3 linked regions of the Alligator mississippiensis genome follow. The protein of the gene in region 1 binds, or shares a complex with, the protein of each later gene. Links are inferred from orthologs where the notes say so. Each region holds a gene or a part of one and is shown in the gene's direction. Other genes may lie near its edges.

Region 1 (10,618 bases):
GGGGGTGGGGGGGCATGGACCTGGCTCCTATCCTGCCCTCTGGGCCTTGGTTGGATCTCCTTGGAGCTGAGACTGGGATCCAGTAGATGAGAGCTAGGAGGGCCCAGGAGCTGGGACACCTACCTGGGTTTACTCTTCAGCTCTGGGTGCAGGTTGGGGCTGAGTGGGGGGCAAGGTTAGTGCTGGGCTGGGAGCACGGATGCCTGGGTTCTCTCCCATCTCTGGGAAAGGCATGGAGTCTTGAGGTCGGGGAGTGTTAGAGCAAGGAGGTTAGAAGCCCAGATGCTTGGGTTCCCTCCTTGGCTGTGGGTGAGAAGTGAGGTCTGGAGCAGGGAGGGGCTGACAGCCTGGACACCTGGGTTCCGTGCTCAGCACTAGCCTCCCTTGCAGGGTTGGGAGCAGGGGGAGGGCTGTGCTGTGCTGTGCCCTAACAGTGCCTGGGACCTGCTGCCAGGGCCCTGGGCTCTGTGCAGGGGTTCACACAACCCCCCCTGCCCCCCCCAGTCGGCTTCCCCGGAGCAGGAGGGTTTCTTCGATCTGCTGAGCCACGTGCAGGGCGGCCGCATGGATGAGCAACGCTGCCACCTGCCCGGCACCCACGCCTCAGCTGGTCCCAGCCCTGAGACCCGTGAGTCCCGGGGGTGTGGGGTGGGAATGGGGGTGGGGAGAAGGAGCTTGGTAGGGCAAAAAATTAACTTGGGGGCTTGGGGGGCAGTGGGGGCCTACCCAGATGCATTCTGGGAGGCCTTAATAGTCAGGACCCCCTGTCTAATCTCTGACCCCCCCTGCAGGGGAGAGCCCGAGCCCCCCACCCGAGATGGACTCCTTCCTGGAACTGGTGGCCAGCAGCCAGGGCCGGCGCATGGACGACCAGCGCGTCAGCTTTGCCCACCTGCCTGGCTTCCAGCCCGCCGAGCGTGGGCCCCCCACCCCGCCCAAGGTGAGCATGGGCCATACGTGTGCCATGGTGGGGGTGCTGAGCAGGGCTGTGTTCCCTCCCCTCCGGCTTTGTGCCCCCTTGGAGTGGGAGGAGGGTGGGAGGGTCCTTTCTGCTCCCAAGGTGGGGAGAGAACCCAGTTGTTTGGCTCCCACCCCTGTGCCCACCCAGTAGGCCTTGCTGCCAAAGCAGTGTGGGGACCCAGGAGTCCTGGCTCCCAGCCCCCTTGAACCCCTGCCTCAACCTTCCAGAGATGGAACCCAGGTGTCCTGGCTCCAGGGTCACAGCCGCCCCCAGCCCTGCTTGGTACTGCCTGGGCTGTGACCAGTTGCCAGGGTCTCTGGTGCCCAGGGTACGCTGCTACTGAGCCCTTTGTGTGTCCTGGGTGCAGCTGGGACCTAGGGCAGTCACCCCTCGTGCCCCACCCCCCTAGGTAACTGGGCTTGACTGTGCCCTGGCATCAACATTGCATGCTGAGGTTAACCAGCTGGGAGCCCTCAAACCAGCTCACCCACCCCCTAACCAGGTAACCATCCCACTAACCAGTTGAGACCACAAACCAGCTCACTAGCTCCTTAACCAGCCAGGCACCCACTAACCAACTCTCTCTCTGTCTCCCTTGTGCCCATCTGGAGCTCCATTTATGTGTCCTGTCTGTTGGGGCTGGGCATGCGTGTGCTTGTCACTGGGGTGGGGGGGGGTGGAGGGGGGTGTTGCCCAGAGTCATGTTGTGTCCTCATGGGTTGCTCTGGGAGGCAGAAGCTAGGGCTGGGGGATAGAGCTTGAGCTGGGGACACATGCATGTATACATGCACATATATAGAGAGCACGGATCACCCAACAGGGGGCAGCAGCACACACATGCCCATGTGTACATCTGCATGCATGTAAAGACCTGACTGTAGTGCAGGTGTACACATGGGCATGCACCCCCCCATCCCAGCAGGGGGCAGACACGTGTGCGCGCACGCGCACACACACACACACACACACACACACACACACACACACACGAGTCCAGTGCAGCCCCAGTCCAACAGGGGCAGACATGCACATGTGCACACACATGCACACGTGTGTGTGCATGCATGTGCACGTGTGCCCTGGGGTGCGGGAAGGGGCCCCTGCTCCTGCCTCCTGCAGCCCTGTCCACGTGCCTCCATGTGTGCCCAGTGTGGGGAGGCCAGAGGGCAGTGCCCAGGCAGGGTCAGTGCCCAGTTTCCTCTGTCCGTCCCCCAGCTTCCCCCCCATGCACACTGCCATGGACATTTCTTCCTCTTTGCAGAAGTGAGTGTTGCTGCCATTGCCTGCGTGTACATCGCACCCAATAAAGACCTGCTCTGGCCCCGCTTCTGTGTCCATGTAGCGCCGGCGGGGGGGCAGGGGGGCTGGGACTGAGGGCAATGGAGGGGGTCACTTGGCTAGAAACAGCCTGGGGTAGCCGCACAGGTGCATCACACATGTGTACAGACATGTACACACCTGCAAGTGAGGCAGGAGAACAGGGGTATCACACACTTGTACACACTGGCACATAAGACAGGAACACAGGGGTGTTGTACACATGTACAAACAACTGCACATGGGGTAGGAGCACAAGGATGTTGCACATGCATGCAGTCAGCGTGTACACACCTACAGAGCATGTGAACACACTCACATACACACAGCATGTGAATATACACATACACATATGCTTGCACTAACCCAAGGCGCACACCACATGGATACGCCCTTACACAGTCACATGACAAGCACAGTGCCTACAGGCATGCTCTCTCTCACACACACACACGCACAACCATGACCTGCACATCACGTGCATGCACGCTCAGGCATTCACCCACACACTTGCTCACCCCCCTTCAGACTCTCAGCTTGGCTCAGAGTCCCTCCTCTCTGGCCAGTGGGGGTCTAACCCCTGCCCACCCCCAAGTGTACCCATGGGGATCTGTCCCATGTGGGGGGATGACTCCACCCCCCTCTAGGAGCTGGATGCGGAGCTTGGCCTGAGCCCCCCACCCCCAATAATCCCCTCAAGCCAGGGATGTTCTAATGCTGGGGCCTGGCCCCCAGAGATCCCTGGCCAGCTGATGGGGTGGGAGGGTCCCAGAGCAGGGTGCAGTTCTGGTGCGGTGGGGCAGGGCCATGTCAGCCTGTGGGTCGGGTAAGCTTATGGGGGATGCATACTTACATGGAGTCACACATCTGGACACAGGCACATGTATACACCAATGCACACATGCATGCCTGCACAAATGCATGCACACCCATATACTGATGTGGGCACATTTGCACATACATGCGCAAATGTGCATGCATATATAAACGTGCACAAATGTGCGTACAGACACATGTACACATGCAGAACAACAGCTGGGGAGTGGGGGGGGGGGGCTGGGGTGGCAGCAGTTATCCCTGCAATGTGCAGCCTCCAGTGCTAACAGTGCCTACCCTCTCCACTATCAGCCCTGGGTGCCCCAGGAAGCTCTGACCAGCAGTGCCAGGCCTTGGGGAGCACCTGCCCCCCCCTGCCCAAGAGCAGGGACTAGGGTGGGGTTGGTGCCCATATTGCTAACTGCCTGCCTGGGCCAGGGCCCAGGTTGGGGGAGCTGGGCCCCCCCCAACTGAACCCCCCACCAGGGGCTGCTGACATCTGGGCACCAAGTGTATGTCTGTGTGGTCCAGCTCACACTGATGCCTGTGTTTCTCCTGCAGGAGGGCGAGGCCCCCGCCCACCCCAACACCATGGCCCTCCTGGACCCTCCCATCACACCCTCCGAAGACTACTTCACCCTCATCCACCAGCACCAGTTGCAGACCACTGGTGCCTGGCTCCGCAGCCCCCCTCACCTGCCTTAGTTCTTCCCACCCTCCATCAACACTCCCCAGAAGCCCCCCCACTCACCTGTGTCCCCATAATACCCCCATCAACTCAATATGCCCCTCACCCACCCCCTTCCAACCTCAATACTTTTCCTACCTTCTAGCAGCTACCCCATGAGCTCCAGGCCCTGCCCCAGTATCCACCCACCTAAACCCTGAGGTCCCACAAGTGCCCTCCCTTCACCCCAGTGATCCCAACCCCAGACTCGCCCAGGCCTCTCGCTGCAGCACCTTGGGTCTGAACTAGGGGCCCTAACCCCTGGATGTGGGGGCAGATCCCCTTCCCCCAGCAGGGGCCCAAGGCCTGGCTGGGAGGTATTGAGGGTCTCTTCCCTGCACCCCAAGGCTGGAAGGTTGAGGGGGGTGGTCTCCCCTTCCCCTCTGCACATGCCAGCACTACAATAAACTAGTCTTTGATGAAAGCAGGTGTGTGTATGTGGTGCTGGTGGGTGCGGGCACGGTGGGAGTGGTGAGGGGACCGCCCAAGGACCAGCTTGGCAGAGGCAAGGGTAGGCAGGCTGCTCCGGCTCCTTCACAGTGTCTTGCTACAGCTCCAAGCCCCCCAGCCCCTCGGGGCTGGTACCAGTAGGGAGAGGGGCGGCAGCATTGTTAGGCTCAAGAGTGAACGTGTTAACTTCCAGCTTTATTTATGGAATGGCTGGAACACAGGGGCCACTCACAGGCAGTAGAGGGTTGTTACCCACTGGGGGCCCCAAGGGAATGGGGAGCCCTATCACACCTCTGCAGCCCTGTGCCCCACCGCAGCACCCATCCAAGGGGCTGAGCCCTGCAAGCCTCTTGGGGTGTGGGGAAAGGGTGTCCCTTGGGAGCCTCATTTCCGAGGCGCCTGCAGGAGCCGCCGCTCTTCTTGCTGGTTCCGGATCTGTTCCTTGAAGGCTTCCATCTGCTGGTGCTGGTGGGGAGGAGAGAGAGCATCAAAAGGGTAACTGGCCAGGGGGGAGGGAACACAACAGTTCCCATCTGATGGAGCAGCCACCCCCACCCCGCCGCCCCTCAACCCAAACTTCTGGGGCTGGGCATGCCCCCACCCCTGAAGCCAGTCTGGGGTTACAGAGCAGTAGGAGTAGGCTCACCTGGAGGGGGTCTTCTGGTGGGTAGATCTCTCTCTGCCAAGAAAGGGAGAAAGGATTTAGGTGCCTCTGAGCAAAGACTGGCCCGGCCGGGGTTGCACCAGCCTGTCCCCACACTGGGGTAGGGGCAGGGATAGGGGAACCCGCCCCCCGGAACTCAGGAGTCCTGCCCCCCTTGCCCACCTTGCGCTGGATGACATACTTCTCGAAGTACTCAGCCTGGTTAGAGATCCAGAACATGGCCACGGGGAAGGACAGGTACAGCGTCATCTGCAGGGGAGGTTAGCGTGGGGCAGGGGCAGCGTACCAGACCCCAGCTCAGCGAGGGGAGCCGGGGCAGCAGCCAACAGGCCCCGGGCTCCTGGGCTGTGCAGGAGCCCATGGGCATCTCTGGGCCATGGCCAGGCTGGGACGGGGCTGCCCCGGCGGGACACGGATCCGGTGGGCCGGGCGCACGGGGTCCCAGCTGGGCCAGGCCCGTCCGGGCCCCGCGGCCCCGACCCTGCCCCAGGGGAGGCCGAGGGCGGGCAGGGCCCAGCGCGGGGGGGGTGATACACCGCAGACCTCAGGGGACAGCGAAACCCCCGACCGCTGACCAAGGGGAAGCGGCCCCCGCCCGGACCCCCGGGCTCAGCCCAGGCAGCAGCATCGGCCCAGCCTTGGCGGCCCGGGCTTCACTGGTGTCTGAAAGGCCCGGGGGGAGGCAGGGACCCGGACGCCTGGGTCCTCCTGGCACGGGGAGGGCGGGGCGGAACCCAGTCGTCCCGGACCCCACCCCCAGCGCGGCCGCAGGACCGACCCGTAACACCTCCAGCTTCACCCCCATGGCCGCGGCTCCACGCCCGCCGCTTCCGCCCGTCCTCTCCCCGCCCCGCGGCGGCCGCTTCCACCCTCCCGCATCCCGCAACTCCATTGGTTTGCACCTCGGCGATGGCGGCACTCATTGGCTATGGCAGCAGCGAGGCGACGCCCCTGTCCCGCTGCCCAAAGGAAAGATGGCGGCCGGAAGCCCACGGCCAGCTCCTGGGGGGCGGGCTCTCGCCGCAAGCGGCCAACAGGCGGGCGAAGGGCGGTGACGTGAAGGAGGGTGACATAGACATCATCTCAGTGCGCTGCGGCCTGCTCGGGGCGAGGTGGCCTGCTCGGGGCGAGGCCGGAGCTTGGCGGGGTCGCGATGCCGGATATGGAGATGCCGGGAGCGGTGGGGCGGACCGACCTCGTCTTCGTGAGTGCGGGGTGGGGCCTGGGAGCCGGGGCGTCATTTCTGGGGCGGGGTGTTCCTCGTCCCGGGACACCCAGGGCCCCCTGAGCTGGGCCTCGCCCCCCCGGCTGCCTTTTGAACCCAGCCCTGCCCCAGTGACCTCCTGTGGCCCCAGTGTTGCCCTTTGACCCCGCCATCACCCCCCCCGCCCCTACTGCCCCCCAGCCTTGTCTGCGTCGCCCCATAACCCCTCCCCCATGTGTCCCCCTGTAACTCCCTGGACCTGCCCCCCAGTGCGCTGCCTGACGTGCCCCTGTCCCCGCAGTATTTTCTCCCTGGATCTCTGGCGCTTTCCCCCCCAACCCCTGCCCCACCCCTGCACTGTCTGGTCTACCCCCATGTGCTCCTCTCAGCCCCTCCCCCTGGCCCTACCCCCAGCGCTGTCTGCCCTGCTCCCATGTGTCCCCCCCAACTCCTCCAGCCCTGTCTGCTCTGCACCCTGCCCCACTCTCACTGCCTGGAGGTCGGGGGTGGGGGCACCGTGCTGACCCAAGCATGCGCTGGCGGCAGGAGGAGGAGGACCTTCAGTATGAGGAGGAGATTCTGCGGAACCCCTTCTCCGTCAAGTGCTGGATGCGCTACATCGAGTTCAAGCAGAGTGCACCGCGCCACGCACTCAACCTGCTCTACGAGCGGGCCCTCAAGGAGCTGCCTGGCAGGTGGGTGTTGGAGGAGGAGGGGCTGGAAGAGCTTGGGGCCGGGGGCCCTGGGCAGGTGGGTGCTGGGGGGACAGGGAGCACTCGGGGTAGGAGATCCTGGGTAGGTAGGTGCTGCAGGGGCATGGGGAGCTCAGAGCTGGGGGTCCTAGGCATGTGTGTATTCAAGATGTGTGTGTGAGTGTGGGGGCCACTCAGTCCAGGGGAAGTTCAGAGCAGCAGGGTCCCCAGGGGGTATTGGGGGGGAGGGGCAGGGACCCCACAGGGCTGGGGTCCTGGGGAGACAGGTGCAAAGGGAGGCAGGAAGAACTTGGCAGGGGGGCTCTGGGTAGGTAGGTGCCAGAAGGGGGCTGGCAGGGCATGGAGACCTCAGAGTTGGGAGTCCTCAATCAGGTGGCTATTTGGGGGGGGGGGGGGGGCATTTAGGGCCACCCCCAGTCTAGGGAGAGCTCAGAGCAGCAGGGTCCCCAGGTAGGTGGGGGGGGCAGGGAAAGCTTGGGGCGGGGGGCCCTGGGTAGGTGGGTGCCTGGAGAGCTGCAGGGACGTGTGGAATTCAGATTTGGGGGTCTGAGGGGGAGGCATTTAGGACCATCCCCTAGTCCAGGGGGAGGTCAGAGCAGCAGGGTATCCAGGTGGTAGGTGCGTGGGGTGTGCAGAAAAAGCTTTGGGGCAGGGGAAGCTTAGGTAGGTAGGTGACAGGGGGCACAGAGAGCTCAGAGAAGGGGCTCCCTAGGCAGGTGGGTATCTGGGAAGGGGCAGTTAGGGTCACCCCTGTCCAGGGGGAGCTCAGAGCAGCAGGGCCCTCAGGTGGGCAGATATTTGAGGGACAGAGCGTCCCCGGGCAGTGCAGTACCCTCCAGACCCAGCCAATGATCCCAGGGAGCAGTTGCCACCATCCACATTTCCACATGAGGTCTGGTCATCCCTGCATTGTGGGGCCAGCTCCAGTGGAGGGTGGGGACCGTTGTGTGGGGGGCTCATTGGACCAGGGCTCAGGTGCCAGGGACATCCCCCCCCCCCCCCCCCCCCCCCCCCCCCCCCATGGTGCTGACAGTCCCAGCCCCCCCATTGCAGCTACAAGCTGTGGTACAACTACCTGAAGCAACGGCGGAAGCAGGTGAAGAACCGGTGTGTGACCGACCCTGCGTATGAGGAGGTGAACAACTGTCATGAACGTGCCCTTGTCTTCATGCATAAGGTAGGGGGAAGTGCAGGCTGGGGGGGGCTGAGGAGCAGTGGGGCAGGCTAGGGGGCTGCATGGGGCTGGGGAGAATGCAGCAGGTTGAGGCTGCACAGGGACTGGGGGGGTGGGGAGAGTGGGGCAGCTGCGGGCACTGAAGGGGCTGGGGAGATACTGGGCAGGCTGCTGGGTCCCTCTGGGGCTGGGGAGGGTGGTTGCAGGGCAGGCCAGGGGAGGAACGGTGCAGGTTAGGGACCCCAGCCCTGCTTCTGGCCTCGTTCTGCCCCACTTGGGACAGGGGATGGCTTTCCCCTTGAGGGTTATGCCCCCTCCCATGCACCTGGCTCCAGGGAAGCATTGAGATCTGATCAAACTTGTTGCATAGGTGTCCATAGTACAGGCATCTTTATAGTGGTGGGGAGGGGGCAGTCTACTTTGTGGCTGTCACAGCAAGCCTTGGGGGATTGTCAGGGCTGGGGGGCACAGAGACGTGCCCCATGCCCCTCACATCAGTGCTATGAGGTGCGGGGCACTGCCCACAGATGCCACGCATCTGGCTGGACTACTGCCAGTTTCTGACGGAGCAGTGCCGTGTGACCCGCACGCGCCGCACCTTCGACCGGGCGCTACGGGCGTTGCCCATCACTCAGCACCACCGCATCTGGCCGCTCTACCTGGCCTTTGTGCGTCGGCACCCGCTACCTGAGACTGCCGTGCGTGTCTACCGCCGCTACCTCAAGGTGAGGCCTGGCCCCCTATTGCTCCCTTTGTTGGGGGATGTCGGCTGTGGGATGGAGGGTCCTTGTTGGGTGTGGGTTGGGTTTGGGGAATGGAGAGGGGCTGCTCTGTTGGGCCTAGGAAGTAATGGGGAGATCCTACTGCCCATGGGGAGATGGGAGCTGGGGCAGGTGTAGGTTCCCTATTAGCTGTGGGGTAGGTTTGGAGGCCCATGGGGGTGTTGGCAGGGGTGCTGTCAGCCATGGGGGTAGGAGCCAAGGGCCTGGTGGGTCCCTGTCAGCTCTGGGCTGGGTCAGGGGGGTCCAGGTTGGGGAGAGGGCCTCCCCTGTTGGGCCTGGAGGGGTGTTGGGGTGCCCCTGTCAACTGTGGGTTGGGAACCTGGGGGGTGGAGACGGAACTGGAAGGTCCTTATCAACTCTGAGAGAGGTTTGGAGGCCTTTGGGGGGTGTTGGGAGGACATGGCTGTGGAGGTGGGATATGTAGGGGTGATCCAGGGGGGTGGATTTGGGGGGCCTGGGGATGCATGACCAGATTGGACTGATCCATGTGCCCTCCTGCAGCTGAGCCCAGAGGGGGCAGAGGAGTACATCGAGTACCTGCGCTCCATCGACCGCCTGGATGAGGCTGCCCTGCGCCTGGCAGCCGTCGTCAATGATGACAAGTTCGTCTCTAAGGAGGGCAAGTCCAACTACCAGGTGGGGGTAGGAGCAGGGATCTTTGGGTGGGGTGGGGTCCTGGAGAATGGATGGGGTGGGGTGGGGCTCCTAAGGTTGGGGTGGGGCCTGGTGCACAGGGATCCTGGCATCTGGTCAGGGCCAAGGCGGATCCCTAGGGTGGGGCTCTGGGCAGGTTCAGGGCTGGGGTTTTATGGGACCATGGGGCGGGACAGATGCCTTGGGTCTGGACGGGGCTGCCCTATCCCCTCCTGCCCCTGAGCAGTGCAGGGGGTAGTGACAGCCTGTCCCCCTGACTGCCTCCCTACTCCGTTTTCACCCTGCCCCTTCCCCCCCACAGTTGTGGCACGAGCTGTGTGACCTGATCTCGCAGAACCCCGACAAGGTGAAGTCACTAAATGTGGGGGCCATCATTCGTGGGGGCCTCACACGCTTCACCGACCAGCTGGGCAAGCTGTGGTGTTCCCTGGCTGACTACTACATCCGCAGCGGCCACTTTGAGAAGGTATTGCTGGGAGCAGCTGTGTGCTTCACCATAGAGGTGGTCACAGCTCGGGGACAAGGAATGTCCCAGAAAGGGGTGGAGGCTCTGGGGTGAGGGCGCAGCCAAGGCACCTTCCAGCATAGTGTTATCCCCCATTTCACCCCAGAAGTGGTCGCATTTCAGTGCCATAGGGACAGGTGTTGCAGGAAGGGATGAGAGAGACGTTCAGTCCCAGAGGTGGTTGCATCTTGGGGACAAGGAGTGTCACAAAGGGGTGGGCCAAGGTACCTTACAGTGTAGCTTTATCCTATGTTCCATTCCAGAAGCAGTTGCCTCTCTGCACTATAGAGACCGGAAGTGTCACAGAAAGGAGAGGGGCCTAAAAGTGGGGATGGGGCTAAGGCATCCTGTGCTACAGTGTTATGGCAAGTTCCACCCCAGAGATGGTTACATGTTAGGGACAGGGAGTGTTACAGAAAGGGGAGGCTTGGAGTAGTTGGGGCAGGGCTCAGATATTTTGTACTGAAGCATTATAGGATATTTCACCCCAGAAGTGGTCACATCTCAGGGACAGATAGGGGTGGGGGGTGGTGCTGAGGCTTCTCCCACATTCCATCCCAGAAACAGCTGCATCTCAGTGCTACAAGGACAATCCTTGACACAGAAAGGGGAGGGGTGGTGGGGTGGGGGCCAAAGTACTTCCTATCCCTG
Region 2 (10,163 bases), on another chromosome or scaffold:
TAGTGACTGGAACTGCCCCCCCCCACAAAGGACCTGCCCCCATGAACCCTAAAATTTTAGCCCCAGAGCAGTGATGCTACAGGAAATGGTTGTGGGATTGTCCAGCCCCTGTTGTTTCAGGAAGAGGGCAGGCCAGGGAGCTATATCCTCTCCCAGGGGCTCATTTCCCTTCTAGTGAGTTTCCACTGGGCTCTGGTCTTCCTTAGAGGAGGGAGGCAGCTGCAAGTGCCAGGGGCAATGAGGAGAAAGGCTTGAGAGATTCTAGGAGGGAATGGGTGGGGTGAAATGGGTGTACACAGAGAAGGGGCTCGGGAGAATGAATGCATTGGGCAGGTGGGGCCTGGGAGCCTACACACAAGGGAGAGACTCTGGAAGTCTATGGGGTGGCTGGGGTTGGCAGTGTGTACAAAGGGGAGGGGAGGAGCAGGGGCAGCATGAAGGCAGTGGTGCTACTTGAGTCAGTTTTTGGTATAGCATGATGGGAAAAGGCTGTCCCTCCCAGCCCCTCAATCCTCCTGCTCCAGGTCCCTGGGGGACACCTGCCTCTGGCGGTGCCGCAGTTCATCCACCTGCTGCTCCAGGCTGTGCACCTTGGCTTCTAACTGTGTCCCAGAATGCTGCGTCCTAGTCAGGCGCCCCAGCAGGGCATAGACGGTGAGCAGGGCCAGCAGCAGCAGGGCCTGCAAGGAGGGGTTGGGCACAGAGGAAATGATGAAGATGAAGCAGACCAGGAAGAAGGCCACCTTCACCCCTGTCATGATGTGGCCCAGGATGTTCAGCACCAGGCCCAGCACCAGCGACAGTAGCCAATAGCCAAACAGCGCAGCCAGGCCCCACAGCAGCAGAGTCTGCACATGGACAGGGTCTAGCTTCAAGGTCTGCATCACATGGTCCCCTGGAGGGAGAAGGAAAGGGGTTAGAGGTGCGTGGGTGTCCCAGCACCGGGCTGGCACTTCTGGGATAGGGCATCCCCACATCAGGGCTGTCCAAATGGTGGCCTACAAGGGTTTAGCACAGGGGCAATTAATTATTTCGGGCAGAGGAACGCTTACTGAGTTTTGACAAGCCATCGAGGGCTGCATGGCAGGCAGCCAGGGGCAGATAAACATGAATTTTCTATATTTTTTAGGGGCCCCGCAGGCCGGATACAATAGCCTGGCAGGCCACATCCAGCCCGTGGGCTGCATTTTGCCCACCCCTGGTTTAGCATGTGGCCCACACGCTCCTGCCTGGCCGCTACTCCAGTCCCTGCTCTGGCAACAATGGCGGGGATCTATAGACTCTCCATCCCTCCTCCGACTTCTGGTTCCTGCCCCCCAACCCTCCCTCCCACACCTGCTCTTGGGGGCTGTGCAGCACAGCAAGGGCCAGGCTGTGTGCTTGGGGAAAAAAAAGAAGCCAGGCTGCCCACACTGTGTGCTACCCCCACATCATGTGTGGCTGGGAGAGGGGTTTGCACATGTGATGGGGGGAAGGGGAGGGAAGTCAGTTCAGCTGTGTGGCAGGTAGCTCCTCCAGCACCAGGGTCCGGGGCCTGTGCTGCATGTGGTCCCTGGCTACCCAGAAGCTGGATGACTGCCCTATTTGTTGCCCAAGTGATGTTGGGGCAGGCTGCTCCTGAAGAGAGCGGCATAATGGGAGTCGAAAGGGGAGTGGTGCGGGTGGCAAGAGAGCTCTCTCCAGTGCTGGGAAGAGAAACCCTTGGAGAGAATTGCTCCTTACCAGATGGGAGCCCCTTTTCTTTATTTAGGGATAAGGATCAGGGTTAGCCCATTAAGTACTGGAAGGAAAGTAAAATTGCTCTCCCCAGATGATATGGGCTGTCAAGCCTGAGTTGACCCCTCCTATGCCACAGGCCTTGAAAGGGGAAGCTCAGACACCCTTGTCTGTTGTGAGGGATGGGACTGAGGCCCTCACATACTCCAGTGAAAGACTGGTTTTCAGAGAAACACATCTCTGCCCCAGAGACAGGGATGCGGAACAGCCTTCCCAACCTTCCACAGATGGGGCTGTGGAAGGGGGCTTCAGGGGAGTGGGCACTTAACCAGAAAACCAGAGATTTGCTTCCTGCTCTTAATTCTGCCTCTGCTGTGAGCAAGCTGATGCTTCAATTTCCCCTCCCTCCCTTTGCCTGGGCTTTTATGCAGTACCCAGCACAATGGCGCCCTGCCCTCAGGTGGGGTCTCTAGGCATTAATATCATCACACAGATAGAAAGCAACTTACCATTCATGCCAAAAGCACTAAGGATCTGTCCCATGATCTCAGATAGGATGATCAGCCCTGCAGAGATGCCATTGGAGACAATCCAGAACATGGCAGAGATGGTCTGCAGGGAAGAGAGAAATTTCAGTCCCTGCCATGTGTTCAAAGACACCAGTGGGGAGAAGGGAGACAAGACCACTTGCGTATGAGGTTTCAGGGGCCATGAGAGAGCTCTGATAGGAACCAATGCCTGGCTGGGTGCAAATAGCCCTCGCTGGTTGTAGGTGCAGCAGGAACCCACTAGACATAACTTACAGCAACCCCAAAGATGCTTTAACTCCCCCCCCACAGGGGCTGAGATGGCTTTGTACTAGGAAAAGTACAATAGTGGCCTCAAGTCTCCCCATCCCTACCTTTTGGATTTGGTGCCCAGCTCAGCTGCAATTCAGCTCAGATGGATAAGCTGTGTAACCAGTCCACCTAACAGATGGCAGAAACACCCCAACCAGAAACCAATACTGCCAGCTTCAGAGCCAGCTGGTTGGTGCTTCTTTCAACACAGTGTATGCAGACCAAACCATGGTGTATCTATCAATGAAACCAATATAAGTTGTCACATATGCATGCTCCAGCAGGGAGACCACTGTAGCAAAGCCATTGTAACCCTATCCCTGCATCCCACAGGATTCAAGTTACAACAATTTAGTTCCCTACAGAATCATGCAGACACAACAGTTATGCTGTCACAGCTGACATAAGCTGCAGAGCGGAACAACTCCTCCCCTTTTAAAACGGTTGACAGTTAAATCTGTCCACAGCCTGAGAAGTGGGTAGCTTCCTGAAGAGGTAAATCTGTGCTGAAAGCTTGTTCCCATGGGGCCAGAGTACTGTTCAGCCATCCAGCTGGCTCCATCGTCAAGGAGCTCTGCCTGAAATAAGCAGCTGATGCTTCTATCTTCTAGCCTGTCACAACAATATCTGAATGTCTATTATTCTTAGTTTTACCTAGGGAAAATGGAGGCAGTTTCAAACCAGACTCCTTTGAGAACTAAATGACCTGCCAGAAGTCAAGCAGGAAGCTGGCAGCAGATAAAGGCTTTACCCTGGGTCTCCCAAATCTCAGGCTCGGTGCCTAACCCACCAGACTACCTAGCCTCTCTACTCCTGACTTGTGCCCTTCACGGCCCCTATTAAATGAAGCCTTATGCCCCTGCTGGAGGGTGGGGGTGGGTGTGTAACTGTTACTTGCCCAGGAGATAAGCTAGCTAAGAAGCTGCAGGAGCTCATTACAGACAGAACTACAACTGGAACCCAGAGGTCTAACAACAGCGCCACATCTCAGTCACTTGGGCACATGCTGCCTTTTTTCAGAGCAGATACCTGGAGCTAAAGTGACTCAAACCTCCCTCGGTAGCAGGAGGCTTAGGGAAGCAAGGACTGGCCAGCACAAGCTGCATAAGAAATTTCAGATCAATAACTTTGCTCAATGTTAACCTTGATATATGTAGCACCCAGCTTTTATCTGGTGCTTTTAAGCCATAGCCTCAACATGCTCCACAAGGGAAGTTGGCATTATCCCCATCTTACAGATGGGGAAACTGAGGCAGGGGAAGGCAAACTGACCTGCCCAAGGTCACTCAGCAGGCCAATGACAAAACTGGAAACCATGTCTCCAGAGTCACAGTCCAAAGCTCAAACTGGACTCTCTCACTGGAGCTCTTTGAACAACTTTGGCAAAGCTTAATAGCTATTTCTCTAACACCGGCAGAGGGGGGCAAACTTTGTGCACAGAGACCTTCACCTCCACCCTCTTCCAGCCCCTTTGGAATTCCAGCCTTACCTCAGCCACCATCTGAACAGCCTCCTGCCCAATCATCTCCTCCAGGGTCTCCTTCATGGCCTGACCCAAATGGGACAAGAAGTCAGTGTGGACGGGTGCTTCTTTCCAAAGCTTGCCAGACCGGTTCTGAGCGCTGGCCACATGAAGGAAAGCGGCTGACATCAGGAGAGCAACAGCTGGTCGGAGCAGAAGCTGGCGGCAGCTCCAGGACCTGCAATCCCTTCCCGCCATCTCTCCAGCTCTTCTCTCTACACCAAGAAGCCCTGCTGAAGGAAATGAGAGAGGAGAGATGAGTAAAGTCACAGACAGTAACAAAGCTGTAGAAACCCAGGATCCTCCTGTCCTGGGGTCAGAGCTATCCTGCCCATGGGGAGGGCCACCCTGGACTGCCAAGAGGGCAAATGCACTCCCCGCAGTACCAGCATGCTCCCTTGTCAACTGAGGATCCTCCACGGGCCACTCTCTCATTACTGGCGCTTGGGCCTGTCTCCGCTCCCAACCTTTTGTGTTTCCCAACGACTGGCGACCGGAGGCAGCTCCTTGCGCTGTTCCCCAGCAGCCGGCTGCTCAGGCTGACTGAACCTGGGTCTAAGAGCAGGCACCCGCACCCACGCCACCGGCCCTTCGTTTGAGAAGAATCCCAGGAGCCAGGGGCCAAAGGTCAAGTCTGCCTCACTCCCACTTTGGGCAGTGACCTCAGTGTGGGGCCTGCAGAGATGGAAAGGACAGCTGGGCCCCCCGCAGCAGGTGGGGGGGTGACACACAATCCCTCTCCCACACGCCCTGCTCAGGCCTGCCCCTGGCGCAGTCCCAGAAGCCGACACTGGGGGGAGGCGGGGTGGAGAGAGATGCTTGGGCGCCAGTGCTGGGCGGGAGGGCGGCACCATGCGGGCCCCCTCTGCCACTGCCTGCTGTCCCCACACCCCAGCAAGCCCAAGGACGGGGTTGGGGGCGGGAGCAGGGCCTCGGCCCAGCCACGCGGGGACCGGGGGGGGAAAGCACACGCCCCCCCTTGAGAGCTCACCCCAGCGCGGGCGGGAGTAGGGGCGGGGCTGGGCTGAGGGGGCGTGGCTTTCTCAGCGGTTGGAGCTCACCCCTCACCCATGCGGTGCACGCTGGGAGCTGTAGTCCTTCAGGGAGGCAGTGACGTGAGGGGGGAAATTCGCCCAGTGAATTCTGGGAATGACGGTTGTGGGTCGGAAGCCGCCTCGCGCGCGGGGCATGACGGGAGCAACAGGTCCCACGAGGGTCTCTTAGGCGCCGCGGGCGCTCGGTTGCCACGGCAACGCGCCGCCGCCCGGGGCATGCCGGGAAGGGAGGCTGTGCTCGGTGGGATTCGCGGCCTGGCAGGCGGAACTGGTACACTGGTCCCACAGGTCGCTGGCCGCCAGTGGCAGCTCCCCGCTCCGCCTCGGGGCGGGCCCCCCAAACACATTCGCAGACGGAAGTGGTCGGCGCGGCCCTGCCGCGGGGCTTGGTGGGAGGACCAGAGCGAGAGGGACCGTCCCCCTGTCCCCGCGTCCCCCTCGTGGGCCTGGCACACACGCGCCAGAAGCAGAACCCCGTGACCCGGAAGCAGAAACCGGAGCCAGAGCGAGGCGGGCTCGGGACCAGCAGCCGCCATGGCCCTGATCTGCTCGAGTGAGTGCGGTGCGGCGCGGGGGAGCGAGCGCGGCCCCGTTCCCTAAGCGCTCCGGCCGGAGGCGCTGCCACCTTTCCCGCGCTGGAGGCTGCGGCGCGCAGCCCCCCGGGGGCGGCCGCGGGGCGGGTCGGGGTGGGGAGCGGGGCCGCCCCGCAGCCAGCGGCCTGCTTCTGGGCACCGCTGTCAGCAGGTCCCGGGGGCGGCTGCGCCCCGAGCAGGGAGAGGCGAAGCCCCTGCAGCCCGTGTCAGGCCGGAGCCGGGGGAACGGGTCTTCCCGAGCCCAGATGTGGGGATGGTCTGATCCTGAGCGCGGGGCCATGGCCCCCCTGGCCAGGAGCCTCCGGTCTTGGTCCCAGCAGGCGCACTGACACAGCCCAACCCTGGGACAACCCAGAGAGTTCAAATACAAATCTGTAGTGTACTTCTAGAGGGTTGAACCAAATCCTGCCCTTAATGTCCCCCCCACTCCTCCCCCAGCCCCCTGGGGGTCAGCCAGAGAGAGTGCAGCGAAGGGCAGTGAAAACCCGTGGCAGGGCTGGGGCATGTGACTTGTGAGGAGCTGAGGGAACTGGGTTTATTTCATCTAGAGAAGAGGAGACTAAGAGGGGATTTAATAGCAGCCTTTAACTACCTGAAGGAGGGTTCGAAAGAGGATGGAGCTAGGCTGTTCTCAGTGGTGACAGATGACAGAACAAGGAGCAATGATCTCAAGTTGCAGCAAGGGAAGTTTAGCTTAGGTATTAGGAAAAACTTTCTCACTAGGAAGGTAGTAAAGCACTGGAACAGGTTACCCAGAGATGTGGTGGAAGCCCCATCCTTGTAGGTTTTTAAGACCTGGCTAGAGAAAGCCTTGGCTGGGATGATCTAGTTGGGGATGGTCCTGCTTTGAGCAGAGGTTGGACGAGATGACCTCCTGACGTCCCTTCCAACACTCACTTTCTGTGATTCTGTCATTTTGCCCTAGGGTGAAGGTTCAGCTCATTGACCGCTCCTTTGATGTGGAAACAGTCGGGGTTGAAGTTTGGGATGTGTGGCAGTTTCCACCCTAGTTCTTTGTTCAGCTTCAGACACCCTTCCCAGATGTTCCCTCCCCTGGCCTAACATTTTTCAGCATTAGCTTGAGATCAAAAGTTAATTTTTAAGCAATACGTGATCAACATTGTCTTAGCTCAGGTATGAAAGTGCCAGAAAAACAGCTTACTTAGGGCCCTCCTACACATTCCAATTAAAGCTGGAAAGAAATCAGCTATAGAGTTGTTATAACTTTTCAAGAACTTTATGGCTGGTCTAAATGGGTTGTGCGATTAAACAGTTAATTGTGTAAATATATGTAACATGTAGCAGGGGCTACAGGAATCTGATACATTTTCCATCTTACTGTGACTTTTCCTGCTGATGGGATAGGAGAATGTCTCTGGGCATGCAGACGAGCCTCTGAACTAGTGGCTCGTGTGCATTTGTATTGTGCAGTGATTCTCAATTAGGGTGCTGTGCAACCCTGGGTTGCCATGAGTCATTGGTGTAGTGTGTTACCACTGGGGATGTGGTTTATGATTAGGGCCCCTAGGTGTGTCAGTAGTATCAATAATGATGAGGGGGTTGACATACACACCTGCCATTTGGCAAGGCACTTGGAGTCCTTCCTGGTTGGGCAGGAACAGTGTGTGTAAGTGCTGATAAAGGTACCACAGTTCCCCTGTGGTGGGTGCAGACTCCAAGGGCTCCATTGGCAGGATATTGAGGGCAAAGTGATGTACATTGCTGAGCCCAAGAGGTTACTTGTTAATTATGTAGATATGTATGTATACACATGCATGTATGTACCTACACACATCTCCCCTGCCCCCCCATATTTTTCCATAGTGAAGCTCCAAGCTCAGCAGACAGACCCCTTCTCTCTCATAGAGATGCACTAAGGGTAGGAGAAAGAGATGCTCAGCTCTTATATGATACCTGTCAATGGATCTTGCATAGCTTTACACAGAAGGGCAGTACTGTTATCCCTCTCTTACTGGCGGCGGAGTCTGAGGCACCGAGAGAGGAACGACTTGTACAGGGTCACCTGGCAGTGGCCTATAGAAGAGCTCGGATTATGACCAGCTCTTTGAAGGAGTGCTAGTTAGTGCTAGGCCATACTGCCTTCCTGGTCAGGCTCAGAAACGCAGGGTTTTCTTTGCCAGACCTGTGACTAGGTAGAATCCCAGGTACTTTGCTAGCCCCAGGACTCAGAATTGAAACCAGGTCGTCATGGAAAGCTGCTCCTACCAGTCCTTGAGGCTGGACAAAATTTCAGAAAACTTCCCCAATAGCTCTTCCTGTTCTAACCCTGAGTACTGTACTGAAGGTTTCTTGAATACAAGATAAGTCCTTTTTTTTTTTTTGTACCACATTAAGTAAACCATTTACCACTATCCTGGGCACATCTCTTAGTAATATTAGTAGGACAGGCAAACTGCTGTTGCGATCTATGGTACAGACAACACAGCAGCAGAGATCAATATGTGTGGCATTTTAGGCTCACTTGAATTAGCTTCAGCATTAACTGTCTCACCCTCTAAAGAAAGCCAAGCTGGTGGTTTGAAAGAAAATGAAGAGGCCAGTGTTTCTCTAACTGGGATATATGAGAGGAAGGAACAGGACAGTGTCAGGAAGGAAAGGGGAAATAGAGAAAAAAGATGAAAATATGAACTCAGCAGTTTCTCTTAGGGTGTTGGAGAGGTAACGATGTGGTGAGAGTGATACAGTGTTGTCTAGTATAGAATCATGATACCCAGCACTATAAGAAACTTAAAATAAGGTATGTGATACAATTAAGTTTGAGAACAACTGGAGCTGTGAGCACTGCTAGACTGCAGGTGTTGCGGGAAGGTTTTGATTATAGAAAAATAAAGTGGAAAAGGACCACAGGATGTTCCCAACTCCAGCCTGCTTCTCAAGGCAGCATCATACTTTTCTAAACCAGAAGACAGGTTTAGAAAGCAAATGTTTGTCTAACCTACTCAAACTTCCCAGGATGGAGATGCAGAGGTCAGTGAAGATAAACTTGAGTAAGGATCACAGTAGCAACATGCAAAAAGATGTATGTTGCTCTGTGTGTTATGAGGCTATGGGAAAACTTAACTGATCTCTTGTGCAATCCTGGGAGGCTGAGAGACTGGTTGTTTTATTTATCCTCCCAGGGCTCCCATGTTGCTGAACTGCCCCAGGATGTGGGAGGGGATTCATGCTGCCTGAATTACCCTTCCTGCTTTAATGCCACTCGTGTCTTGTCTGTCTCTGACCCTTTGCAGTTTCGAATGAGGTGCCTGAGCACCCCTGCGTGTCTCCAGTGTCAAATCATGTCTATGAGCGCCGGCTGATTGAAAAGTATATCGCTGAGAATGGCACTGACCCTGTGAACAACCAGCCGTTATCGGAAGAGCAGCTTATTGACATCAAAGGTACCAAGGGCAAAGGAGAAAGGGGGGGGGGGGGGAGGGGGGCAAACCAAGGGGACAACGTTTGAGCCCCTGAGCTGGTACTGTGATTTGGTCACTTTGCTCTGTCTGGTGCTGGACTTCTAGCCTGATAAGCAAGTGAGACACCAGCCCAGATGCTTCAACACAACATAATAAATCCCCTGTATAGATCCACAGTCCACCTGCTACTGCACTAATCACAAAACGACAAATACGTTGAGGGTGTGGCTGGATCTGGATTAATGGAATGGGAGCAGAGGTGCAGGTGGATGAAAGAGGTGCCTTTAAGGAGAGGAAGAGATGGATAATCAGGTTCATCCTGTCTGTTGGCATTAATGTCCCCCTGTGTTTCTCCTTCACAGTTGCCCACCCAATACGACCCAAGCCACCCTCTGCTACCAGCATCCCGGCCATTTTGAAGGCCCTCCAAGATGAGTGGGTAAGTGCCTGACTCCTTCTTGCCATACAAACTATGTTGGGAAGGCAGCCCTCACTGCTGCTCTGAAGTGAGGTCACAGGATCCCCTGTCCGGAGTAGGCAAAAGGAACTTGGTGAGCTGGCTCTGATTCCCCTCATGCTGTGGTTCCTTCTGCAGGATGCTGTTATGCTGCATAGCTTCACGCTTCGCCAGCAGCTGCAAACCACCCGCCAGGAGCTGTCACATGCGCTGTACCAGCATGATGCTGCCTGTCGTGTCATTGCCCGTCTCACCAAAGAGGTCACCGCTGCCAGAGAAGGTAACACGGGGGGGGGGGGGGGTGTCGGCTGACCTGCTGAGGGCTCTGTGCCTGAGCAATGGGGGCGGGGGCGGGGCGGGGCGGGTGAAGGGCATTTAGACTTTGGAGGCTGGTGGGAGTGAGGAGAAGGAAGGGTTTAGCACTATGGAGCAGTGAGATGCTGGTACAGATGATGCAGGGGAAGCAATGCTGTGATGATACTATTGTTCTGTTCCTCTGAGCCCCCAGACAGTTCTGTTTCAACCCCTTGAATCTGTGTTTCTCTCTTTGCAGCCTTGGCCA
Region 3 (10,465 bases), on another chromosome or scaffold:
TTTTGGGCCCCCCTGCAAGATGTAGTTTTGGGGCCCCCTGATCCATCAGCAGAGACTACCGTAGCAGGGTGCAGGGCTCAGGGCAAATCAGCTTGTGCGGGGCCCCCGTTCCGGCCAGAACAGCTAGACAAACATCCACCAAACACAAGAGGGGTCACGGCCTCTCCGCCTGGCTCTGTGGGGCCCCCTGTGGCCTCAGGTTCTATAGGATAGGATGGGCCGGCCCTGCTGGAGGGCATAAGCCACAAACTAGTACTGCTCTTACCTTAGTGTTACCTGGCTCCACTAAGCAGACTGCTGCCTTGCACAGTACTAAAGCTGTCTGTACTTAGGATATTCTCAGACAACATGCCTCTGAGTTTTTATATGATTGCTTTCTGCAGCTTGGGTTCTGTGTGGCTGGGAGCTATGAGCCTCCATCACATTTCTCCTTGAAATGATTTCCTTGCATAGGCCTTCCCAGTTGTAGAGGCTTTGCTAGGGGCTGACGTGTGTCCTGGAAGAGGCATAATGTATTGTCTCACTGCCCTTTAAACACAAAGCAGCCAAGCTAATGCTGCTTTTTTGGCTCTTATAGGCACCTCAGCCTGCAGTACACGTGCAGGGACAGGAACCTTTAACGGCTTCCATGCTGGCTGCTGCCCCTCCCCAGGAGCAGAAACAGATGCTGGGTAAGTGATGATTCGGAAGTCAGTCCTGCTGCCTTCTGCACAGCGAGGGAGCTGAACACATTTCTCATTATCATATTTGACTTCAGAGCTTTTTAAAGCACAAAGTCTCAAGCAACTGGGATGCATGAGGCTCCTTTTTGTGAAAATAAGGGGTGTTTTGCTAGCCCCTACACGCAGTAGTTTGGGTGTAGATACAGTGATGCTTAAAAATGATGGTAGTTGGGCATTCTGACTTAGACTTGAAAACATCTAGTGTTCCCTAAAAACTAGTAGTGAAAAAAAGATCAGGGGTGGGGCATGGAAATTAGATGCCATGGAAATGTAAAGCTAATGTTTGCTCTAGTTTAAAACTTCGATAGGTGCTTATCTGCTTCCCTTGTTAGCTGTACTTGCTGCAAAGGACCTGTGAGAGCACCCTGCAAAGACCATTTGAACTTTACTTTCCTAGGAGAACGCTTGTTCCCCCTGATTCAAGCTATGCACCCCAGCCTTGCGGGGAAGATCACAGGAATGCTGCTAGAGATTGACAATTCAGAGCTACTGCACATGCTGGAGTCTCCAGAATCCCTCCGGTCAAAGGTAAATTCTCCCACTTCTCAAGGTAGTTTGGATTGAGTGATTTTGTTAAAGATGATGGATCTTACCTGGCAATTTGTCTTCCCTAGGTGGAGGAGGCTGTTGCTGTGTTGCAGGCTCACCAAGCCAAGAAAGAAGCTGCCCAGAAGGTGGGCGTGGTTGCTGCTACCTCTTAAACCAGGAAGACTGGTGAGTGTGTTAGTTAGAACTTCTTAACCTTAGATTCACTGGAATATAGTTTGGGAGGATATAAACTGCCAAGAAGTGGGGTTAGGTATAATGGCATCGGATGCCAGACTACGTCTTGTAAATAGAAACTTCCACTTTTAATCTTGAAGAAATAAGCACATAAAAAAGAAGGTAGTTCCTTACAGCAAGCAGACATGTTTGGAAGATTAAAATATGCTGACATGGAATTCATAAAGCCCTTTAAATCATTCACCTGTGTCGGGGAATAGAATTCATCAAAATGAGACCAGCCTCGAGCAATTTTTGTCCAAACCCAGGTATGCTGCTAATGTCCATGTCTTGTCCTGACAGTTACCCTGAGGTAGACAAGAATAGCACCGAAGTGCACACCATGACTTGGCAAGCTTGGCATGACTTGCTGTGTGGTTCTTGGTTTTGCTAGTTGCCGAGTGATTCTTATAGAATCTCTGATTTTCTTTTTTCCATGCCTTTTTAGATGGGTATCTTTAGACTAGGACTGGATGTTCATATGCTTTTCTACAACTGTTTCATTTATGAGTTCTTTAATATGGATGTGTGTGGAGTTACCAGGAATTTCAAGGCATTTTCTACAGGACTGCTGCCAGAGCACTGGCAGTAAAGGATTATGGGAAATCTTCCATTCTAGAAGGCACTGGCTTAAAATGAAAACACACCATGCATACGTGTTGTAAAAGTGTGCGGTATGCAGCTTGGCCATTGCTTGTCAATAATTTGACATTGCAACAATAATTATTCCCTCATCACAAAGTTTTCATATTTCCACCTTCAGCATAATGTTATGGAGAGGTGGATAATATCAGCAACTGTAGATAGAAACCTACACGGTGAGAGGAATAAGAAGTTATCTGGGAATTTTTAATGGGCTGGTCATGTTTAAATTACTGTCAGTCTGCGCTAAACCAAGATGCCTGTATGGGGGCAGGAAAAAAAGCAAACTAATTTTCTAACCTTTTTTCCCCGCACAGGATGCAAAGAAGCCAAATAGCCCCTTCATAGACATCAGCTCAAGATGTTTGAAGATACTCTTAACTGTCCTGCAGATCTCCGCACCATGCACCATATCCAAATAACCATATTGCATTTTGTAAATTAACCTTTAAAATCTTATTTAAAAAAAATCAATTCCATGAAGCTTTAGATTTCCAAGACCAGGATTAAGTTTGCAAGCTTTTCCTTTGTGGCCAGGACAGAGTTAACCTTTGTCTTTTCTAAGCAGGACATTAAGGATTTCTGATTGAAAGTTTTTTGTGGTTTTGGTTTTAACTGAACAATCCAGTTTGCAAAATCTGGAAAGTGTTTATCAATAAAGGAATAAAAACTTTCACTAAATGGGTCTCTTCCCCACGGTGTGCTTAGCCATCCTGGATTTATTCTGCTGGTCAGAAGTAAACTGTTAGGTAATTACTGTCTGATTGAATTGTGGTTTTAAATGTTTAATCCTGTTATTATTCTGTTTAAGCTAACAAGTGGCTAGGCCAAACCTCCACTTTAAATTATGACTTCAAACTGGGCCCTGTTTTGGATCTTCAAAGAAACTCTAAGGTGGTTGTAACTGATAGTTTATTTAAGTGGACCCCTGCCCTCTGAGGTGGTCTTGGGCAACATTTTTCAGATTAAGCACAGAAACAGGGTTTGATTGATCACTTTTCATTTAAAAATCCCACAGCAGTCTACAAGATGAAGTGATTTTGGTAGTTTTTTATTCTGCATGACTACATACTGTGTAGGAGGAACTGAGATACACTTTTAATTGGATACTGCCACTTTTTAATACTTTATTAAGAAATCCAACTTAACTAACCAATTTAACAGTTAGATGCACCCAATACTCTGAAATATACATGAAGACAGGTATTTATCGGCCATCAACAGTGCTCCCTTGACCCAAGTCAATGTGCATAGAAGTCTTGTGTTCTTTTCGTCTCTTCCTTTCAATCTGACAGTTCCTTCTTGTTTTTGTTGATGTTAAGCTTTTGTATTTCTTCTTCATCTCTGTGTGGTATTTCAACCCCTATATGTCCCTAGAACCTTGTCATTTCCTTTTAATAGTCACAAATGTAGTGTTGCGCTGGTAAGTGTATGCTGCACCTTAGAGATAGATGGCTGCCTTTCAGTGACAGTAGAACTAGCGTGTGCTTTGTGACGTTGGGGTGAGCCTTTGGCATGGAGTGTGGTATAAACATGAATACAGGAGAGCACAAGCACAGCCCAGATCAAGGCAGAAGGGAGGAATTGAGACTGTCCAATGACTTGAAGATTTTACTAAAGGAAAACCATTGAAATGCTGAGCACGTACCAGTTAACGCTGTAAAATAAGGGTGCCTGCTTAGGGGAGCAGCGGTTTAATTCATGTTTATAGACCATTTGAGACCATTGGATGAGTGGTGCTAGAAAAGTGCAAATGGTTCTTTTGATTTTGGGGGTATAAATGCAAGACTGATGTGCCATTTTGCCTGTCTGCTGCACTGTTACGAGCAAACCATGGTGTTAAAATATGCAAGAAACCTGTTTAGAAATCTGGTACTTAATGGTCTGTGTCCAAGCCCAAGAATAGAACAAGCTTGCGGAGCAGAAGCACAGCAAGGCAGTGCCTTGGGTCTCCTGTTGGTAAGCTGAAAATCAAGGAAGGAAGGTTTCAGTTTCAATACTGTGTCCTAGATAACTGAGCAATCTAGTGGTAGATATCCTGAGAAATCCAGCTTGTGCCTTGGACCTGCTGCTTTGAGATGACCACTTCTAATGCATTTTTTTTTCTTTCCAACTGCACTTCATAAATTTGCCCTAGCTGCTTTGCTTAATTTGGGATTAATCCGAACCATGCCTCAGCAAACTGCTGTGCAGCTGCCTTACGCAGAAGCTCGTCAGAGAAACTACTGTCAGACTCCTGGTTAGAGGCAGTTAGCTGTATTGGTCTGAAGGCAGGCAGAAAGCAGGGTAGATCTACGCCCCTTCCAGACCAGCTAAATAAGATGCAATATGCAGCACAAACTTTCATGGGCTGAAGTTCAATTCATTAGATGCTGCTCAAACTCCTAGTTAGCCGTACCAGGTAGTTTATGCCGCAGGTCTCACAAAACATCAACTCAATGAAAAAAATATGGATAATTTTTGGAGTCAGAGATTTTTAACCTACAGGTGAGAGAAAACTGGTGATGGGGGGGAATTGTATTATCCTTTCAGCAATGGGTAGTTAGGTATAATAACAGTGGTAGAAGGCAGGGCAGATGAGATTTATACTTTATAGACTGAAGGAAGGGGAGGGGGTAGCGCACACAGCTGAAGCTCACAAGTTTGTACTATGGTGTGTGTTGTGTATCCTTACCTCCTAGATGCACATTATATGATAGAAGTATAGACTCATCCAGTGTGTGCACACCTAGTATACATAATGACATCATCTGTATATGTGTATATAGACACACACACAAGCACAAACGTTTGAGTGTCAGCTACGTATTCCATCCAGGAAGAACATGCCAACTGCTGAAGCTTTAGCCTGATGAAGGGTTTTTGAACCCAAAAGCTTGCTTAATAACTATTCTCCAACCATTTGGGTTGGTCTAATAAAAGATATCAAATTCACCCAAGGAACCTTGTCTGCCTATGTCCTTAGACCAACACCGCTACAACCTACACCTCAGCTACATATGTATGTATAGATGATGTCATTATGTATACTAGGTGTGCACACACTGGGTGAGTCTATACTTCTAACTAATGTGAGCTTCAGCTGTGTATGCATATATATTAAATACACCACACGTGCATGTGCACACACATCCTTTGGTTATCTATGTACCATATATATAGCACAACAGCTTGTTGCAGTGGGTGTGGATACACACCTATATTGTATATTTACATAGTTTGGCACAAGCTTTTGTGAGCTTCATTGTGTGCATGGTGTATATGTAGTGTGTGTACACACGAGCCGAATCTCCCAAAAGCCGGTGCTATACAACGTACGTGCAGACGCGGAAGGGGCGAGTGCGCGCGTGTCGCGCACACCTCCCCTGTCCTACACGTGGGTGTGTATAGACGCACGCATGCGCACGGGGAGGGGGGCGCACCTGCCGCGTGACGCAAGCGCGCACGCGCCCTTGGCCGACGCCCGGCGCTGCGCGGGGGCGGGGCCGCCCAACGTCCCGGGGTGCCGCGCGGGGGCTGCTGGGAGCGAAGATGGCGGCCACCAAGCGGGTGCTGTACGTGGGTGAGGAGCGGGACCCCGGGGCGGGGTGGGGGGCCGTGTGGGATCAGTTGTGAATATTGGAGTGAACATCGGTGCGAGGCCAGAAGGCAGCAGGACTCGTGCCTGCGACGGGCCCTCAAAGAGGCGCTTGGAAATCCGTGTTGTGAGGGGGCTGCGCCTCCCCCCCCCCCCCCCACACACACACACACACACACTCTCTCTCTCTCTCTCTCTCTCTCTCTCTCTCTCTCTCTCTCTCTCTCTCTCTGTCTCTGTCTCTGTCTCTGTCTCTGTCTCGTGGGCCCTGGGGAGTGGATTCATATTCAAGCCTAAAAACAGCCTTTGGCACCACGAGACGTGAACGAAAGCAGCAGGTAGGGGATGCTGGCGGGGCGGCCTCCCTTGCTCTTCGGCGCCGGGAAACGTTCGTGATTATACACGTCGCGCCGCTAAAGTGCTCGCTCTGGTTTGCAGGCGGCCTGGCCGAGGAGGTGGACGAGAAGGTTCTCCACGCGGCTTTCATCCCCTTCGGAGACATCACCGACATCCAGATACCGCTGGACTACGAAACCGGTGAGTGGGCTCCGGCTTTCGGCCCGGCTCGTTTCACACGGGGCGCCGGGGTCTCCCTCAGGAGTAATATTACGGTGTCCCGGCGGAGTGTCGGATGTCCTTCGCAAGGCGCTCGCTCTGGGGTTCACGGCGTCCCAGGAAGTCTTGGAAGCTCGAGCCTGGGGAGCGAGTTTGATTACTCCTAAAAGGACAAACGAAGCCCTGTACGATGGTAATACCGGCGCTAACACTTTTGAAACATCGCACCCCAGCATCTTTCTGCTGCATCGGCGTTATTGTCACTTAAAACGGTCTGCATTTGCAGGATGCACGTGCAGGCTTGGGAGCAGGAGGGAAACCTCACAGGCTTGAGGTTTCCAGCAAACTCCACCCATTTCAGAGGTTTCAGAGCAGTACAGGCAACTTCTGCTTGACGCTATCGCTATAATGCTCATTTAAAATTGATATCTGGTTTCACTTGGCACTCAGCAATTGCGGTTGCCATCTGGAGTCATTAAAAACGCTTGCGGTCGCTATCTTGGGTCGTCCAAAACTTTCAGTTTTGCTTAACGCTCGGTTTTTCAGGAATCAATTAAGAGCACCAAGCGGGGGTTGCCTGTATCTGAATCATGAAAACCCACCCTGAGCTTAACACCCTCACACCCCTGCATCCACTCCCTGCCTTTTAGTAAAGATTTGCTAGCAGATGTTACTGCTAAAGCTCCTTTGCTGGGCCAAACCTATAAGACTTTCTGAAATGTTTGCATGAACAATTACAACTAGATTACAGCTTCCCAAGTAGATTAACCAAGTGTGTTTTTCATGTTTGTTTTTTTTAAATGGTGTGCATTCATTTATTTTCTAATTAGCAACCCACAGGGCTTAACAATGCCTCGCATCATTTGTAAGCCAGGTCCTAGACCCTGCACTGAATTTCATCTGCACAGAATTGACTTCAATGAGGCTCTGTATAGCTGCAGATTGCTCTGTGCTGGGACTTTATTTCAGGATTGCATTTAAGATTTCCTGTTTGTGGTATTTCCCCCCCTGTGGGACAAATAAATGTTAAAATTCATTACTGGAGAATTAATTAGCTGGATATTTTAGCATCATTAACATCATAATAAAGAGTAGTTTAATGTTCCCGCAGGATAGAAATAATAGAGTCCTTTGATGTTAGTGGAGCTTTGTACCAGCAGGTAAGAAAGAAAGTCTCTGAAACAGAATCTAAACTCTCAGATGGAGGCAGCAGCATAGACGTGGATTCCCCTTGGTAGCCCAACTAATGCACCAGACCTCTCCTGCTTTGACTTTCATGGGGGCAAAGTTTTCCTGGTAATACTGTGAAGGTAACTGCTCATTGTCTCTCCACAGAGAAGCACCGAGGATTTGCTTTCATTGAGTTTGAGCTGGCTGAGGTGAGAAAAGGGCACATTTTAACACAGTTTGAAATCTCTTCTTTATTTTTTTTTATTTTTTTTTTTTTTACCTGATCCTGTGTCAGTTGAATCCAATGGGAGTTTTATGGTTGAAGTGGAAATAGGATTCTACACTTTATGACTAACTCTTTAGTGTTATTGGCTCTATATGATACTCTGTGGAATTTCTGTTCTGCTTCTCTGGTCCCACTGTTATGAGGTCTTCCACAGATTAGGGGGTTACCTCTTGGGTGTTGTGTTGGGGCTGACTGTAGTTTTGCTAAGAGGTTGGACCATGGATTTGAATAGGATGGCTTGGATAGGGCTGATCCTGCTTCAAGCAGAGGACTGGACTAGATGACCTCAGGAGGTCCCTTCCAGCCCAACTTCTCTTTGATTCTCTTTTTATTTTTTTCTGCAGTTTTTCAACCTTCGGACTGGAGTACAGCTTCTTCAGAAGCTTCTCCATGGTTCACATTGTTGGCTTTCCTCCAGGGCTAGTTCAGTCCCTTGTGCTAACAGCGATGTTTTAGGTTAATGGGCCCTATGAACTGCCCTTTGCTCCTGGTCCAATACTCCCTTCCCAAGATCTGCCCCCGACCCCAAATTAGCATGATAAATGACCAGAATCTTATGCAGATCGGGAAAAAAACCTGGATTGAGGAAGCTGCACAGCTGCCAGACCTTGTGGCTAAAAATAACTAAGAAGGTCCTAGCCGGATGCAGCGGGAAGCTACAGGGCTAGTGCTGGGGAGAAAGGAAAACCTGTGGGTAAAAATTGATCCAAAGGTGGACAGTGGAGTGAAATGAAACCCAAACTTCAGGCCAGGTGCTAAGTACCTTTTCTACAGGGTTAGAGGGACGTCAGGGCTGAATTAGCAGTAAAATATTCTTTCTTGTTTTTGCCTTAGGATGCGGCAGCAGCTATTGACAACATGGTAAGGGCTTTTTTCCTGTCAGATCCTGACTGTTAGGAAAGTCTCATCCATTCCGATGGCCATGTGGCCTGTGCTTCTGCAGTCCTCCAAGTCTGGTGGGACGAGGTACATTGTCTCAGTGCTGCCCGGCTATTCCTGTTGGTTCCTTACCTAACAAACCCCAACGCCTGTGGCAGCAGCTCGTCCCTTCTAGCCTGAGCAAGGGAAACGTGGCTTTGATACTTCCTGCCCCTTTCTCAGGTGGGAGGGATGGTATTCTGATAGCTCCCTCAGTTCTGAACTCCCCCGGGCAAGTCCAGAATGAATTCCAGCAAGTTATATTGCTGATGGCCAGTGCTTGGATGAAAAAGGGAATTGCCAGCAAAAGTGGGGGTGGTCACTGCACTGGAGAAGTGCTATAGAATGTGCTCAAGGAAGATGTCTCCTGTGCAGGGCTCAGACTACAGATAGGCCTCCGGCTTGCTGAAGGCACTGCCTGTCACATCACCATATTGCCTACTCATCTCCTTGAGTTTGTCCATCTGCTATCTCTTCTAGCGCTTCAGTGATAAGCTGTTTGGGGCAGGGACCATCTCTCTGTGGTGTTTGTGTAACCCTGCTCCCTGGGGTCCTGGCCGATGCTAAGAGTGCCTGGGGTATTGATGACAATGGGAAGGGGATTGGGGAGATGCATAGCCTAGTCTTCCCCTGAGGTCTACAAGGCTCTGAGGGAAGGGAGATTTCTCACCGTTGATTGCTTCTCTCTCTGTAGAACGAATCAGAGCTGTTTGGCAGGACGATTCGTGTCAATTTGGCCAAGCCAATGCGGATTAAGGAGGGCTCTTCCAGACCTGGTGAGTTGGTGGATGAGAGAGGGGAGTGTCTCCGGATTCAGTCAGGAGGTCCTCGTGGATTCCCTGCTGGCTGTTGGGCTGCTTTCCCCATTGCTTTGCTTAGGCCTCTGCCTTCTATCTCCTGTCTCTGCCTCTTGTTTCTTGGCCTGGGGATTTGATGGGGAGCTCAGGGGCAGAACTGGCTGTTAGTTCCTCCAAGAAGGAAGCACTTGCGGTTATGCTTTCCCAGCTGGCTGCCATCACTGGCGTGCAACATGTGGGCCAAGGCTGTGTGGATCTGAGGTATCTGCCTTAAGGGAAATGCAAAAGAGGATGTAAAATACTCTGCCCAGGAGGGATTGGGAGGTGGGAGTTGGGTGGATTCTGGAGGTGCCATGATAACTGAGCAAACACATGGGGAGGATGCAGGGCTAATTTGTGGCATGCCTGTCAAAAAGGTTGGCCTCTGCTGTTCAAACCAAACAGACCAGAAGGCTAAAGGAAACAGGGATCCTCTACACAGGCTTACACACAAATCACGAGCACAGAGGGCTTGTTGGGTACCATCCTTTTCCCACAGCTGGGTGGCTAGCTCTAAGTGTCTGAGGTCAAATGGTTTTCTTTCAATGAAACCAGCCTCTAAGCACCCATATCACTTTTGAAAATGGCATTTGGGCTCTTAAGCTCCTGAAGTATTTGGAAAATGTCCCCTCGGCTTGAAGCCTTTTGAGGAAGAAATAGGCAAGCATGTCTTGCCAGATAACGTAGACAGGTAACTGCTGTAGGAGGCTTGACTTGACTGAAAGTCTTGACAGCCCTTCTTGTTGGTGATGATCCCATCCTGTTGCTCTATCGCAGGCAGGTAGTTCTCTGTCTCACACACTCCTTGCCTTTAGAGCTATGCTGTTGGGGGTCAAACCGCCCGCTCTCAAGATACCTTAAAGCTGCCTAGCCCACAGTGAGTTTAGACCTGGTTGCTAGTGTAACAGGTGAACATGAGGCCTAGTGGCTTGGTTTTGTCCCAGGTTCTTGCCCCCACAGTTCTGAGCCCCTCTTTTCTCCATTGCAGTCTGGTCGG

Evidence for each region. Proteins that work in one complex are often made in the same cells at the same time.
Region 2: XAB2 (region 1) and PRPF19 share a complex: the UniProt entries of both Homo sapiens proteins name them as parts of the XAB2 complex. The link is inferred for Alligator mississippiensis from reciprocal best matches to the Homo sapiens genes XAB2 and PRPF19.
Region 3: XAB2 (region 1) and PPIE share a complex: the UniProt entries of both Homo sapiens proteins name them as parts of the XAB2 complex. The link is inferred for Alligator mississippiensis from reciprocal best matches to the Homo sapiens genes XAB2 and PPIE.

Annotation. Positions count from the first base shown.
Region 1 is NC_081831.1:24,939,399-24,950,016, forward strand, and holds the start of XAB2 (pre-mRNA-splicing factor SYF1), read left to right. Parts: upstream 1-5,962; 5' UTR 5,963-6,088; coding exon 6,089-6,139; intron 6,140-6,685; coding exon 6,686-6,834; intron 6,835-7,905; coding exon 7,906-8,029; intron 8,030-8,553; coding exon 8,554-8,751; intron 8,752-9,309; coding exon 9,310-9,444; intron 9,445-9,763; coding exon 9,764-9,928; intron 9,929-10,618. Other genes in the region: PCP2 (Purkinje cell protein 2 homolog), read left to right, coding at 505-628, 792-940, 3,656-3,799; protein PET100 homolog, mitochondrial, read right to left, coding at 4,656-4,736, 4,918-4,950, 5,098-5,184, 5,714-5,740. UniProt on the Homo sapiens protein: Involved in pre-mRNA splicing as component of the spliceosome. Involved in transcription-coupled repair (TCR), transcription and pre-mRNA splicing.
Region 2 is NC_081825.1:177,219,534-177,229,696, reverse strand, and holds the start of PRPF19 (pre-mRNA-processing factor 19), read left to right. Parts: upstream 1-5,293; 5' UTR 5,294-5,666; coding exon 5,667-5,685; intron 5,686-8,976; coding exon 8,977-9,126; intron 9,127-9,506; coding exon 9,507-9,583; intron 9,584-9,739; coding exon 9,740-9,881; intron 9,882-10,154; coding exon 10,155-10,163. Other genes in the region: TMEM109 (transmembrane protein 109), read right to left, coding at 507-895, 2,226-2,328, 4,045-4,310, 4,464-4,512. UniProt on the Homo sapiens protein: Ubiquitin-protein ligase which is a core component of several complexes mainly involved pre-mRNA splicing and DNA repair. Required for pre-mRNA splicing as component of the spliceosome.
Region 3 is NC_081829.1:4,836,665-4,847,129, forward strand, and holds the start of PPIE (peptidyl-prolyl cis-trans isomerase E), read left to right. Parts: upstream 1-5,595; 5' UTR 5,596-5,657; coding exon 5,658-5,688; intron 5,689-5,847; exon of another isoform or gene 5,848-6,041; intron 6,042-6,122; exon of another isoform or gene 6,123-6,141; coding exon 6,142-6,240; intron 6,241-7,593; coding exon 7,594-7,637; intron 7,638-8,548; coding exon 8,549-8,575; intron 8,576-9,326; coding exon 9,327-9,408; intron 9,409-10,456; coding exon 10,457-10,465. Other genes in the region: PABPC4 (polyadenylate-binding protein 4), read left to right, coding at 578-671, 1,120-1,250, 1,337-1,423. UniProt on the Homo sapiens protein: Involved in pre-mRNA splicing as component of the spliceosome. Combines RNA-binding and PPIase activities.